Linked DNA regions of Drosophila melanogaster. The protein of the gene in region 1 interacts with the protein of each later gene in a pairwise test. Each region holds a gene or a part of one and is shown in the gene's direction. Other genes may lie near its edges. The genes, in order: Amacr, CG5246 and Coa7.

Evidence for each region.
Region 2: the proteins of Amacr (region 1) and CG5246 interact in a two-hybrid assay, tested with the Drosophila melanogaster proteins (one large-scale study listed by BioGRID).
Region 3: the proteins of Amacr (region 1) and Coa7 interact in a two-hybrid assay, tested with the Drosophila melanogaster proteins (one large-scale study listed by BioGRID).

Annotation. Positions count from the first base shown.
Region 1 is NT_033779.5:20,750,293-20,754,017, reverse strand, and holds Amacr (Alpha-methylacyl-CoA racemase), read left to right. Parts: upstream 1-1,676; 5' UTR 1,677-1,821; coding exon 1,822-1,929; intron 1,930-2,002; coding exon 2,003-3,016; 3' UTR 3,017-3,084; downstream 3,085-3,725. Other genes in the region: Ns4 (nucleostemin 4), read right to left, coding at 1-844, 909-1,237, 1,328-1,406.
Region 2 is NT_033777.3:17,134,237-17,137,711, forward strand, and holds CG5246 (uncharacterized protein), read left to right. Parts: upstream 1-1,874; 5' UTR 1,875-1,968; coding exon 1,969-2,787; 3' UTR 2,788-2,959; downstream 2,960-3,475. Other genes in the region: CG31267 (uncharacterized protein), read left to right, coding at 1-183, 350-977.
Region 3 is NC_004354.4:23,011,899-23,017,155, forward strand, and holds Coa7 (cytochrome c oxidase assembly factor 7), read left to right. Parts: upstream 1-1,596; 5' UTR 1,597-1,683; coding exon 1,684-1,783; intron 1,784-1,920; coding exon 1,921-2,210; coding exon of another isoform or gene 2,211-2,261; exon of another isoform or gene 2,262-2,368; intron 2,369-2,554; coding exon 2,555-2,965; 3' UTR 2,966-4,688; downstream 4,689-5,257. Other genes in the region: Rab21, read right to left, coding at 479-1,083, 1,145-1,208. UniProt on the Drosophila melanogaster protein: Required for locomotion. Probably involved in the regulation of formation/maintenance of motor neurons at presynaptic terminals at the neuromuscular junction.

The DNA of each region.
Region 1 (3,725 bases):
ACTTCAGGGAGCGGTATGGAACAGCCAGTTGCGATATGGGGAAACTGCCCAGCAGCACTTGCAGGCTTTTGGGAGTACTCGAGGGAAAGACTAGACCGGGACAATCACAGAGGCGAACAAGTGGGGTGAGGAAAATTGTCTGAAAGTGCTTCGTATGTCCGGGCGTGCGACTAACGCTGACCACCTTGCGTCCCTTTAAGGCATTGATCAGCGACGACTTTCCGACATTGGGAAATCCAATGCAGCCAATGGTCAGGACCCCACTGTGATATTTAACGTGCTCGTGGGGCGTGGTGTCGATGCTGCTGCTGATCTTGAGTTCACCCTCCACGGCCGTTGATATTTCATCCAGGATGTCAAGCTGATCACTACGCATGTCCTCTCGTATCTTCTGCTCCCAGGTTGTTAGATCCACCTCTCCTTGGACATAGCGCTGGCATTCCTTGTAGATATTATACACTCCTTCCATACTCCTGCGATGAGCCTGTGGACCACGTTGACTTCCTTTGCGGGATCGGGGGAGGAAGGATGCAAAGAGCACCACTGGTAGCTGGGGGTAACGGTCGCGGAAGTATTGCCTCCAAGCCACCACCGCATGCGGTTCGACTAGATCCACCTTGTTGAACACCACTATCGCATGTTTCTTTAGCGTGTTGATAATATAGTCGTACAGGGAGGGTGGAAACATCAGCGTGGCATAGCGCACGTCCACAATGATCAGCAGGATGTCCGAGAACTCCAGGACACGCCATAGCTGACGCCAGGTTTCCAGATTCAGCTCAAACAGCGAAAGCTCCTTCGAATCTCCAGCACGCTGCTTTTTCTGCAGCTCGTCCACGTATTCCTGACAAAAGATTATTAATGGATATGTTAATATTATAAACCAAGCCGCCAGTAGACTGACCTACCTTAAAGTAGCGATTCTCGGTGCGATCAAGCTCTTCCTTGGACTCCGTTAGCGTCCAAGGTGGACGAACTGGGAAGTCGCAGCCGGCAAAGTATCGGTCGTCCACTTCCCGCTGAGCGGGACTGAGTTTCTCGAACGGTTTAAAGCCCTCTTGTTTCATTTGCTCCAGTTCCTTTTTGCCCTCCTGGTAGAATTGCAAATTATAGCGATTGACGTTCTTGTTTCGGTTTCCGCCGCGCGCAAAAGGCTGCTCCATGAGTTTCCTGGTCGTTTCCGGCACATCGCTGTCCTCATACGACTCCTGCGTGCTCCTCAGATACTTTGGGGGACCTGCCGGCGTAACAATTGTTAGTCATCCGCTTCGATTTTCCAGCCTTACGCCCCTTTTCACAGGTGGGCACACAATCTCGGTTTTCTCACCTTTTGTGTTGCGCTTTTGCAACATCTGGTCCTTCTTCTTCTTGCCGCTAAAGGCCACCTTGCGCCGTTGCTGTGGCATCGTTTTTGGGTCACGTCCTGGTCTCACTCCCGGTCAATTTGGTTTCGTCCAGCAGCGGTGGCCAACTGTTAGTTGTAGTTAATTGGGATTGAATGTTGTTGCGGCTTTTCCCTTTTGCGAATTAAAAGTTTCACACCAGTTGGCAGCACCGAGAGCACCGGGTTGTCGAGCTCGACAGTTAAGTCACGAAAATAAATAAAACTTTCACTGGTACATTTCTTGTTATCAAGATTAATTTTTATCAAAAACAAAAAAAATACATGCAGAGACAGGAGGTGCAGGTTAAAGTTATTTCATTCGACTCCTTGTCTCGTGAGATTAGAAAAAATCACCTACAAGTTGGCATCTCTGCTGCAATGCCGTTCAAAGTGCACTTAATTTTCTTGTTACTTTTCGCATCAAAACTCCTCCAAAGATGCCACTTAAAGGCATCAGGGTACTCGAATTCGTGGGTTTAGCACCAGGACCGTTTTGTGGGAAGATTCTAACCGACTTTGGGGCCACAGTCACCCGCATCGACAAGGTAAACAAACTGGGCGTTAAATTCAATACAACTCCGATCGCCGAATTTGAATCCATGTTCCCATCTCGTTCAGGTGATGGAAAACCCTTTGGATGTACTGCAGCAGGGAAAGCGCACACTTTGCCTGGATCTGAAGAACCCGAAAGGTCAGCAAGCGGTGCAAAGGCTGGTCAAGAAGTGCGATGTGCTCATCGAACCTTTTCGACCGGGAGTAATGGAGAAACTAAATCTGGGTCCCACCGACTTGTGCACAGCCAATCCCCGCCTGATTTATGCCCGCCTCACCGGCTTTGGCCAGCATGGAAGACTGGCGCAACGGGCGGGACACGACATCAACTACGCGGCCTTATCGGGAGTACTTTCCATGCTGGGCAGGCGCCACGAAAAGGTCACTGCACCCATTAATATTCTGGCCGATTTCGCTGGCGGCAGTTTGATGTGCGCTCTGGGAATTTGCCTTGCCCTCTTGGAGCGCCACAGGTCGGGAAAAGGCCAAGTAGTGGATGCCTCGATGGTCGAGGGAGCTGCCTATGTGGCCAGTTGGCTGTTTATGTCCAGGAATCTGGTTATTTGGGGGAGGGAGCGCGGTGACAACCTCGTCGATGGTGGATCATTCTTTTACGACACGTACGAAACCAAAGACGGTCGCTACATGTCCGTGGGCGCCCTGGAACCGCAGTTCTTTGAGATGCTAAAACAGCGCTTGGAACTGCCCGAAGATGTCAGTCAGTTTGGCGAGGAGCATCAGGTTCGAGGAAGAAAGCTTTTGACTGAGGCTTTCCTCTCCAAGACCCAAGCTGAATGGTCGCAAATATTTGAGGATGTCGACGCCTGTGTCTATCCCGTTCTGGATTACCGCGAGGTTCACAGACACGATCACAATATACAGAGGAATTCGTTCGAGGTGACTGAGGATACAGCGACGCCACGTCCTGCTCCAGTCCTAAGCAGAACTCCGGGAAAGTTGCCCAAGGCAACTGATGGTGCGCAGGTGGAGTGGATGGACGAACTAGATCTTAAGCCCGACGAGTTTAAAGATTTGCTCGACTCGGGAGTACTTTCCCTTCCAGAGAGGGCCAAGCTGTAAGACGCCAAGATGTGCTGTGCCCCCGCCTGGATTTCATCGGAATAAAACACATTTCTTGTTGCTCTTGCACTCAAAATTCTTTTATTCTCGCTCTTGCACACAGACACAGATTACATTTGCTAAGATTTCGCGTACAAACTATCAGTCATACAATTTGTTTCGGAACAGTTAGGCCGCACATTGATATTCAGAGGGGTTTTCATTTTTTGTAATTGGTAATACAGCATACTAGATAACGTAACATAATTGATTCTCTCCTATCGCAATCGTGATCAAAGGTTCTCTCGCGCATCCCTACTTAATGACTAGGTTAGCATTAACTAGCATACCGAGTAGCACATATACTAAGTTTATTTCCGGCTTAAGCACCGCGCGTCAGCGTCTCCAATCGTCAGTGTATATTTAGGATAATCATATTCGATTAGAATGCTCATATGAACGTTGTGGTGTTATGTAAGTAGGCAATGTGTGGGTGAGGTGTAAATTTCACTAGTTGGCGTTGGCGTTTCGTGTGTAGTATTGTTCTAGTGTCTGTACGTATGTACGTAGAGTCCCGGGTAAAGTAATCCTTGTGAGTCCTTAGGTAAGTAAGTAGGTTGTGTTGTTATTTGTTGTTCGTATGTATATATAGTAAGTCTCAGTTCTCAGTATAAAAATCAGTACCATATGTTACGTTTCTCATTTGTTTCAGCTCACACCTTCATGCATT
Region 2 (3,475 bases), on another chromosome or scaffold:
AGCGGTTTCTACACTCGTCCTCGTCCTGTTGGCGTTATCCTTTTCGGAGGCAAGTTTACGCCGTCGGGCCTTCACTTCAGAAAAATCCGAAACCGCGAATAAATTTAGCTCCCGAATCGTCGGAGGAGAAGAATCCGATGTCCTGGCGGCACCCTATCTAGTCTCGCTCCAAAACGCCTATGGGTAATTAACTTATCCTTATTTATGTTATCCTAGTTTCCCTATTGGTAACAATTACTAACGTATTACCACAGAAATTATACTATTTTTTTAAGCAATATATTTTTTTAGTGTCTTAAGTAACATTTTATTTTGAAGTCTAAATAGTGAATTATGCAACTCTTTTAAGTAACCACTTTTGTGCCGGCTCCATTATCCACGATCAGTGGGTCATCACCGCGGCTAGTTGCCTGGCTGGATTGCGAAAGAACAACGTGCAGGTGGTGACCACCACCTATAATCACTGGGGATCGGAGGGCTGGATATACTCCGTGGAGGATATCGTCATGCACTGCAACTTCGACAGCCCCATGTACCATAATGACATTGCCCTGATCAAGACGCATGCACTATTCGATTACGATGATGTCACTCAGAATATCACAATCGCTCCGTTGGAGGATTTGACCGATGGTGAAACGCTAACCATGTACGGATACGGCAGCACGGAGATCGGAGGAGATTTCTCATGGCAGCTGCAGCAGTTGGATGTAACCTATGTCGCGCCGGAAAAGTGCAATGCCACGTACGGCGGTACTCCAGATCTGGATGTGGGTCACCTTTGTGCCGTGGGAAAGGTGGGAGCCGGAGCATGTCATGGAGATACCGGAGGACCCATCGTTGACAGTCGTGGTCGCTTGGTGGGCGTTGGTAACTGGGGCGTTCCGTGCGGCTATGGATTTCCCGATGTTTTTGCCCGCATTAGCTTTTACTACAGCTGGATTATATCAACGATTAACGGATGTGCTATTTCCTAAGTGCAAAAATTCGTATCAATTACTTTTATCCTGGAAAAATAACTTTATTCAATAAAATACTGTAAAAATTGTGGTACGCATTTTCAATATCGCCAGACGAACATTTTTATATTACCTAGTTTATTACGGATGTTCCAAAAGATACATTGTCTCCTAAATTATGTCAAAGTCCAAAATCCAGTATGTGAAACAATTGATTAACTTGAAATCTTGATAATCCCTCGTCCAGACGTCTGCCAATTGTTGTAATTGCGGGTGATAAGTAAAACGTCAAAATTTCATTGAAGCCATAAAAATGAACTGGTTTTTCAGAAACAATATAATACACTACCAAACCATGACACACAGAACTATGTCTATACAATATATACTTTTTTAGTGTTTGATAAAAAACAAAATAAGTAATAAGTAAGTAGGTTTCCATATCGAAGTTATCTAATTTATTTTTATAAATCCTTTAATATTTGTTGAAGATTGTCCTATCTATTCCTTTAACTTGCCTACCCTAAGGGTATGCCGACTTCAGTATCTTCAATGGGCCTTCAATCATTTCGCTATTATTCCAGGTGAATTTCAAGTAAACTTCCATCCGATTACGACCCTATCAACCGACGACGTCTGAAGATCTGCCTAGCACAACTCGAGTTAGCACAAAGTCCGCCCCCGTTGCGTATGAGTAATATTATTACGGTCGTGTGCTAGTTGTCTATCACTCTCAGTCCAAATGGCTATAGAATTCCCCCTATCAGGTTACTATATACGGGCTATGGAAATTGTCATTATCGAAGCTTCCCCCGAACTGAGACGCTTATCGCAAAAAATATTTAAAAGAAACTCTTCGAGAGATAAGGAAATTTTGCACAGCGCTATAAAAGCGATTTTGGTGCCAAAAAGTGGGCATTCCGCTTACGGAAGTTGAACACAACACAACACTACAAATTACAATTATTACAATTAATTGAAACAAATATTTCAAGATATTTGAGCCAAAATGAAGTGTCTAGTACTGATCAGTGTTTTGGTGATCCTGTCTCAATGTTCGGCGAAAAGCGTTAAGATTCATCGTCGTCACCAGTTAAATCATCATTTGGGCCATGTGAAGCCCGAGACCCGTGTGATTGGAGGTGTCGATTCCCCCACTGGATTTGCTCCCTACCAGGTGTCCATCATGAATACCTTTGGCGAGCATGTTTGCGGTGGCAGTATCATCGCGCCACAATGGATCCTCACCGCCGCCCATTGCATGGAGTGGCCCATTCAGTATCTGAAGATTGTCACCGGCACAGTGGACTATACGAGACCAGGAGCGGAGTATCTGGTAGATGGATCGAAGATCCATTGCAGTCACGACAAGCCAGCCTATCACAATGACATAGCGTTGATCCACACGGCTAAGCCCATTGTTTACGACGACCTGACTCAACCTATTAAACTGGCCAGCAAGGGATCACTGCCGAAGGTGGGAGATAAGCTAACGCTGACGGGATGGGGCAGCACCAAGACCTGGGGAAGGTACTCCACCCAGCTGCAGAAAATCGATCTGAACTACATCGATCACGACAACTGCCAGTCTCGAGTGCGAAACGCCAACTGGCTGAGCGAAGGACACGTGTGCACCTTCACCCAGGAGGGCGAGGGATCTTGCCATGGAGACTCCGGCGGTCCTTTGGTTGATGCCAACCAAACCCTCGTCGGCGTGGTCAACTGGGGCGAGGCCTGTGCCATTGGCTATCCGGATGTGTTCGGTTCGGTCGCCTACTACCACGATTGGATCGAACAGATGATGACAGACGCTGGTACCGCGTGCTAAAGGTCCAAAAGTCACCCGTGGGGGTACAAAAGCCAAAACCGAACAAAAATAGCAGCTGCCATCTAATGGCTTCTGCAAATTGATCAAATTAGACTGTAAATTTTATTACTTAGATATCAAAGATATCATAAAATATTTATGAACGAATAAATGAACAATTGCGCTTCAGTTTAAATAAAAACTTTTTCGTATGTCATGTTCTTTAAGGCGGGTGTTCAATTTTAGCACTTCTCCAAAGCCCAGTCATTCGTATGATCCATCATTATATTCAGTTCTGAGAACTGAGTCAACAAACAAACAAGCGCCAGTTAGAAAGAAGTGGGATATCAGAAAGTATTGACTATCACCTGTGGCATTACTTAATGTAGAGATTAGACTCGAGTATGATTGACTATGGAAATAAACAATACCTAAGTAGTTTTCCAGCAGGTTCTCAAATTATAAGATAATTAAATAGAACTGATTGAAAGACTACTTTGATTATAAGTCGATTCAAATTTTTAAAGAATTTCTTTAATGTTTTCTCATATGTCAAAACACCAAAAATTTTGTGGAGGGATAATGTCACTTAGTTGTGACCTAGATAGTACATATATTTGTTTATTGGATAGGCTTTTAATGTAGTTAAATAAACAGTTTAATTATCGCCTTGTTTCAAGTTCCTGTTATGTAAATTTAGAGTGAATCG
Region 3 (5,257 bases), on another chromosome or scaffold:
TTTCAATTAATTTCATTAATAGGAGAAGCTGTTGCGATGATATGATCGTTACATAAAATTATGAAAAAATATATAAAAACTTTATGTATTGTCTTCTATTGCACCATATATTTAAAGTGCCGTAAACTGTAATCTTGGTGCGGTTTAAAATTAATCACCTATCGCCTTGCAGAGCCATTAGCACCTCAACTGATAACGATGATTCAGCCCGGCCCCCAAAAAGCCTCAAAACAAGATAAGTGCAAGTACAAGATTGTTTATTACTGGGCGCTCAGGAAGGGCAAGAAAATCGAATGAAATACATATTTATATTTATTAATAAACAAAAATGTGTGAGGATTTTAAAGATCCATAATAGGGAATAATAAAAATACGCGTATTTATATTTATATCTATCTATGTATAATATATACACAAGATCAACATCGGTTAAAGGTCTACTATTTTATAGTTATGATTACTATCACAATGGGAACGGCTAAATGCCGCAACAGGACCGCTGGCCCGCAGGATCTCCGGGATCCGGGGCCTCCGAGTCATCGGAGTTGTTAAGGTTATCCGTATCCGGATTCTGGAGGCGAAGTGGACTCGCATCCGGTTGCCGTTGGCTCAACTGCTCCAGCATCAGCTGGGTCAGGAGCTCGAAGAGCTCAGCCACCCCCTCGTTCTCCTTGGCCGAAGTTTCTACATATTGAGCGCCAACCGTGCGCGCATATTGAAGGGCCTCATCGTGCGTTACTGCTCGCTGTTCCTCCAAATCAGTCTTGTTGCCGACGATTATTAAGGCAATCTCCGTGCCGCGCATTTGCCGGAGCTCCCGCACCCAGGATTTGACCTTCTGGAACGAGTCTCGGTCCGTTATGTCATAGACGAGCAGGGCGCCATCGGAGCCGCGATAGTAGATGGGTCCCAGGGCGTGGAACCGCTCCTGACCAGCCGTGTCCCAAATATTCAACTGCGCCCTTCTCCCATCCTCCAGGGACATCTTGCGGCTGACAAAGGAAGCCTGCAGGGTGCTTAGGTGCTGGGCATTGAACCGGTCTTCCATGTAGCGCAGCACCAGCGACGTCTTGCCCACACAACCTACAATTAAGGGGTTAAAGCTTTCAGGAACTAATTAGGTTTGTTTAGCTGCTAAACGTACCTTCGCCCAGCAGCACCGCCTTGAAATTAAGCGTGGGGCCGTTCCTCGTTCTGCTCGAGCTCATTGTGGTTTCCCAATAGCTAGGTGTCCTACCTTGATACGCATCAGTTTTCAGAGGACACGGAAAAACAAAAAAAAAACAAGAGGTAATCGAAAAGATTAGGTTTTTACGAGACCGCCAGTGTGGCTGTCTACCAGCACTATTGTAATGGCACTCGGCGATAAATGTTGAATAAGCGAGAAGTCACATACGTATCTGGCCACACTGCGGCCTCAAGCAAGGCCGAGAACTCAATGTCGCCGCAGTCATACATGAAAGATAGAAAATACAATTAAGCGATTTTAAATTAAACCATGTTTTAATTATGAGCAAAATATCGATGCATAGCCTAACATCGATATCAATAAAACCATCGAATGTATGCAGTATGGTGTCGATGAATCGATATTTTGCACGTTACTAACACTGAAGCACGCAGGGGTCCGGACGAAGCATAACATAATAATTTTTGGTTGTTATCTATTAAAAATTGCTGACCATGGCCTATGACTTGAAGAAGGAGTCAGACGTGAAGGAGTACGTAGAAAAGCTGGGCGTGGAATATCGATTCGGGTGCTATTCCGAGAAGAAGCCGGAAGGTGAGTGCGGCGGCGGCAGCGATAGCGACGGCGGCAAAAACAATTGAGGTCTATAACCTCCGATGTGCGGGAGGACAATTCGCGGGGCTTGAAGACATTGCATTTATGAGATAGCTAACTGGCGTTCTGCATTGCAGCGTGCCACTTGCTGGGCGACTACTTGGAGGGCATCAAGAAAGACTTTGAAAAGGCCTCCAAGGTGTACAAGTCGACTTGCGACGACTATGGTTACGCAAAGTCCTGCTACAAATACGGCAACTACAGTTTCCTTGGAAAAGGCAAGAGCGGTAGCAAGGGGAATCCACAAGTGGCCTACGAGTACTACGAGAAGGGCTGTAACTTAAACGACTCGGACGCCTGTCTTCACTCCGGCCTGCTGCTCGTTTCAAAGTCCATGCCTAGGGAGATCGACTGGAATGTGCCCAAGGTAAAGGTGTCGTATGGCGATCACGGTCCCAAGCCTTCAATAAAAGGCTAGCTCTTGGAACTGTTCAATTTGCTTAAAGTGCAACTATGTGCTGCAGTACATTCTCTCATTTGCCCCACCTGTTTCTCATTTGATCCTTGAAATCATAAGTCATTCGTATCGTGTCCAGATAATTGAACGTTTAATTGTAATTTTCTGATTATGTTCCAATGGATGTATAGACATATGTATGAATATAGTTTAGTTTGATCCAATTTAAAACTGTTCAATATGACCCCAGCAGAAAAGTGTTTAAATTTTATTTGATTTTGTGATTTGACATTATAATTTTACAACACCCGCAGGGCCTGGAGTTTCTGACCAAAAGCTGCGACTTGAACAACGCCACTGCCTGCTTTTATCTCTCCGGGATGCACATCTCGGGCGTGCAAAAGAAGGCGGATCAGAGTGCTGTCACTGCATCCTCCGGAAGTGGTACATCATCACCCCCCGCCGGACAACCGCCTTTAAAGGACTCCGACTATATTGTTCTAAAAGACATGAAGAAGGCTTTCCAGTTTGCCCACAAGGCTTGCGAGCTTCGCAATATGTATGCGTGTGCCAATCTTAGCCAGATGTACGCCCGGGGCGATGGGATCGAGAAGAACGAAAAGGAAGCGGAGAAGTACAAGAAGCTGGCCCTAGAAATGCAGGACGAGGTGAAGAAGCAGCATGATACGTTAGGGTTCCAGCAGGGCGTGGGCATGCCTAATTGATAATGCTTGATTCCTGATATTATCTGCTGCTACTGTTTTTAGACCTTGCTTCAGGTCAGGTCAGGTTTTTCTTTACCTTCTAGCCCTTTTCAGTAATTTTCAGTCAGTCTAATTTTGGTAGTTAAGCTAACTAACTTGTGTTTGAGATTTCTGTGTACATAGCTGGCACTTGCATGCGAAAGAGCGAGAAAGAGAAAATAAGTAACAATGGAAATTCCTAGATTTAATTGTTAAAGTTATTAAGTGATGATGAACCCTTTAAAAATTTTGTTGATACCTTATATGAATATACAAACAAGTCTTACCAAAAAAGTAGACAAAAATCTTCAGTTAATTGTGTTTTAGTTACGGTTGCTTGTGCACAAACTGTTGTTCTAATATTAATGTAAGAACCAGTACATTTTTCTGATCAGAATCGCCTGCTAATCCGACAGCCTCATTTTTTTTTTAAATCTAGCACATTATAACGTAATTAATCGTCTTGTAATATCTGCATGTCCTTTCCTCGAATACCTTCTCATGAAGATGTGCACTACATTCGTTCTAAAGAATGTAAAAGGAAAAATAATGTGATTCTGCTTCGTCCACAAGTCTAAAAAACTATTGCGTTTCTACACATACAAGTCTTTCAGGCGTAAAGATGTCTTTATAAAACATTCCCAAAATATTTTAAATTTGCAGCTAGAATATAAGTCGGAATGGAATCATATATGTAGATATGTAGCTGAGAGAAATAGTCGAAACCTTCGGGGTTTTTGATCAAAAAGTTATTTTTGGTTTATACAGTATATTAAATTTCGGCTGGAACTGGATCGAAATTGCTATATCTGCTTTTGGCTGGACCTAAATGAAAATTGGTCTACTTATCATATACATAGCTGCCATGGTAATAGTCGCACGAGAAATCCGAATTTCAAATTATTAAGGTAACTTAAGTTAAAGTTTAAAACAAATGTTCTTCAAACAATTTATTAAAATATGTGTATAAAATATTCGATTTTCTTTTCAAATTTCATTGGGATACTATACCAAAACGGTTTGTAGCGTTCGGTTAATGTCAGAGGCCATAAACTATTTAAGCATAACAATAGCTATTTCCTTTTAGAACCATTACTGCTCAAAGTATGAGGTATTCTGGTATTACTACCAACCAATCAAACACCTTAAATGCCTTTTTTAAAATTTTTATGTTAAACAAAAACAGCTTCTAGCAAGGTGGTAAAAATTTATTTTTCCTGGTAGCCAAAAATTCTAAAACAATAAGTACAATAATACCCAATTATTTGTCTATTAAAGAAACATTGGTTAAATGTAATTGTCATGATTTGTTTTCGAGAAATGGGCAAGATTTTGTTAACGGAAAACAATAATATTTTAAGCATATTAAAAAAAATTGTAACAAAAGTATTGACACAGGCGTCCCCGCCAAAGGAATAGGCAACACTTCGCAAAAATGTGGCTGTGATGAACTTTATGGGACCTCACAGACTCAAACTGTGTGCAAGTACTAAAATATCCCTGGTACGAAGGCCTTTTAGTGCCATTATGATAGAACTTTACAAATTCTTACAAATATTATCAAATTGTAAAATATTCATACGAATCATTAAAAAATTAATATGATAATTGTGTAATCTTGTTGTAAGGAATTTAAGTATGCATGTAAATGGTTCTGAACGGACTGTATCTATATACAGTCTGTTTGTGCAACACTTTCTCTGTGTTCATTGTCAGCTTGACCTACTGTCATTTCAAGAAATAGACGCTTTATTAAAAACTCTCTTGTCCAATTAGTTGCTGTTTAGTTACAATAAATGATAATAGCTCCTTCCCGCTCTATCTCACAATATTCTTTCATATGTATGTATGTACATATTTGCATTCACATACAGCTGCGGTTAAAATAATAGCACTACTGCAGGTGGAAAGTTCATTTCCTAAAAAAAATTATTAAATGTTTATATTTTTTAAAGTAAGTTTGCATGAATAATAAGTACCATATGTTGGCTCTCTGAACAAGAAATTTTTAGTCTCTCAATGTAACGGTTCTTTTTGTTTTTGGGCACTTGCTGCTAAAGTGCGCGAAATGAGGCGGTAACAAAAATAGCACTGACCACGTATTTACTGAATAAAATTAATAGGAGTGATTGCTTTGGGTTTTTTTTCGACAAATTTTGAAAAAATGAGTTGTATTAAAGGTTTTTATTGATTTTTTTCCAAACGAAGTCCAAAAATTCTCTAGTTATGGGTCGCGGAAAGCATTGTACCGTCGAAAAAAGAAATTTGATTAAA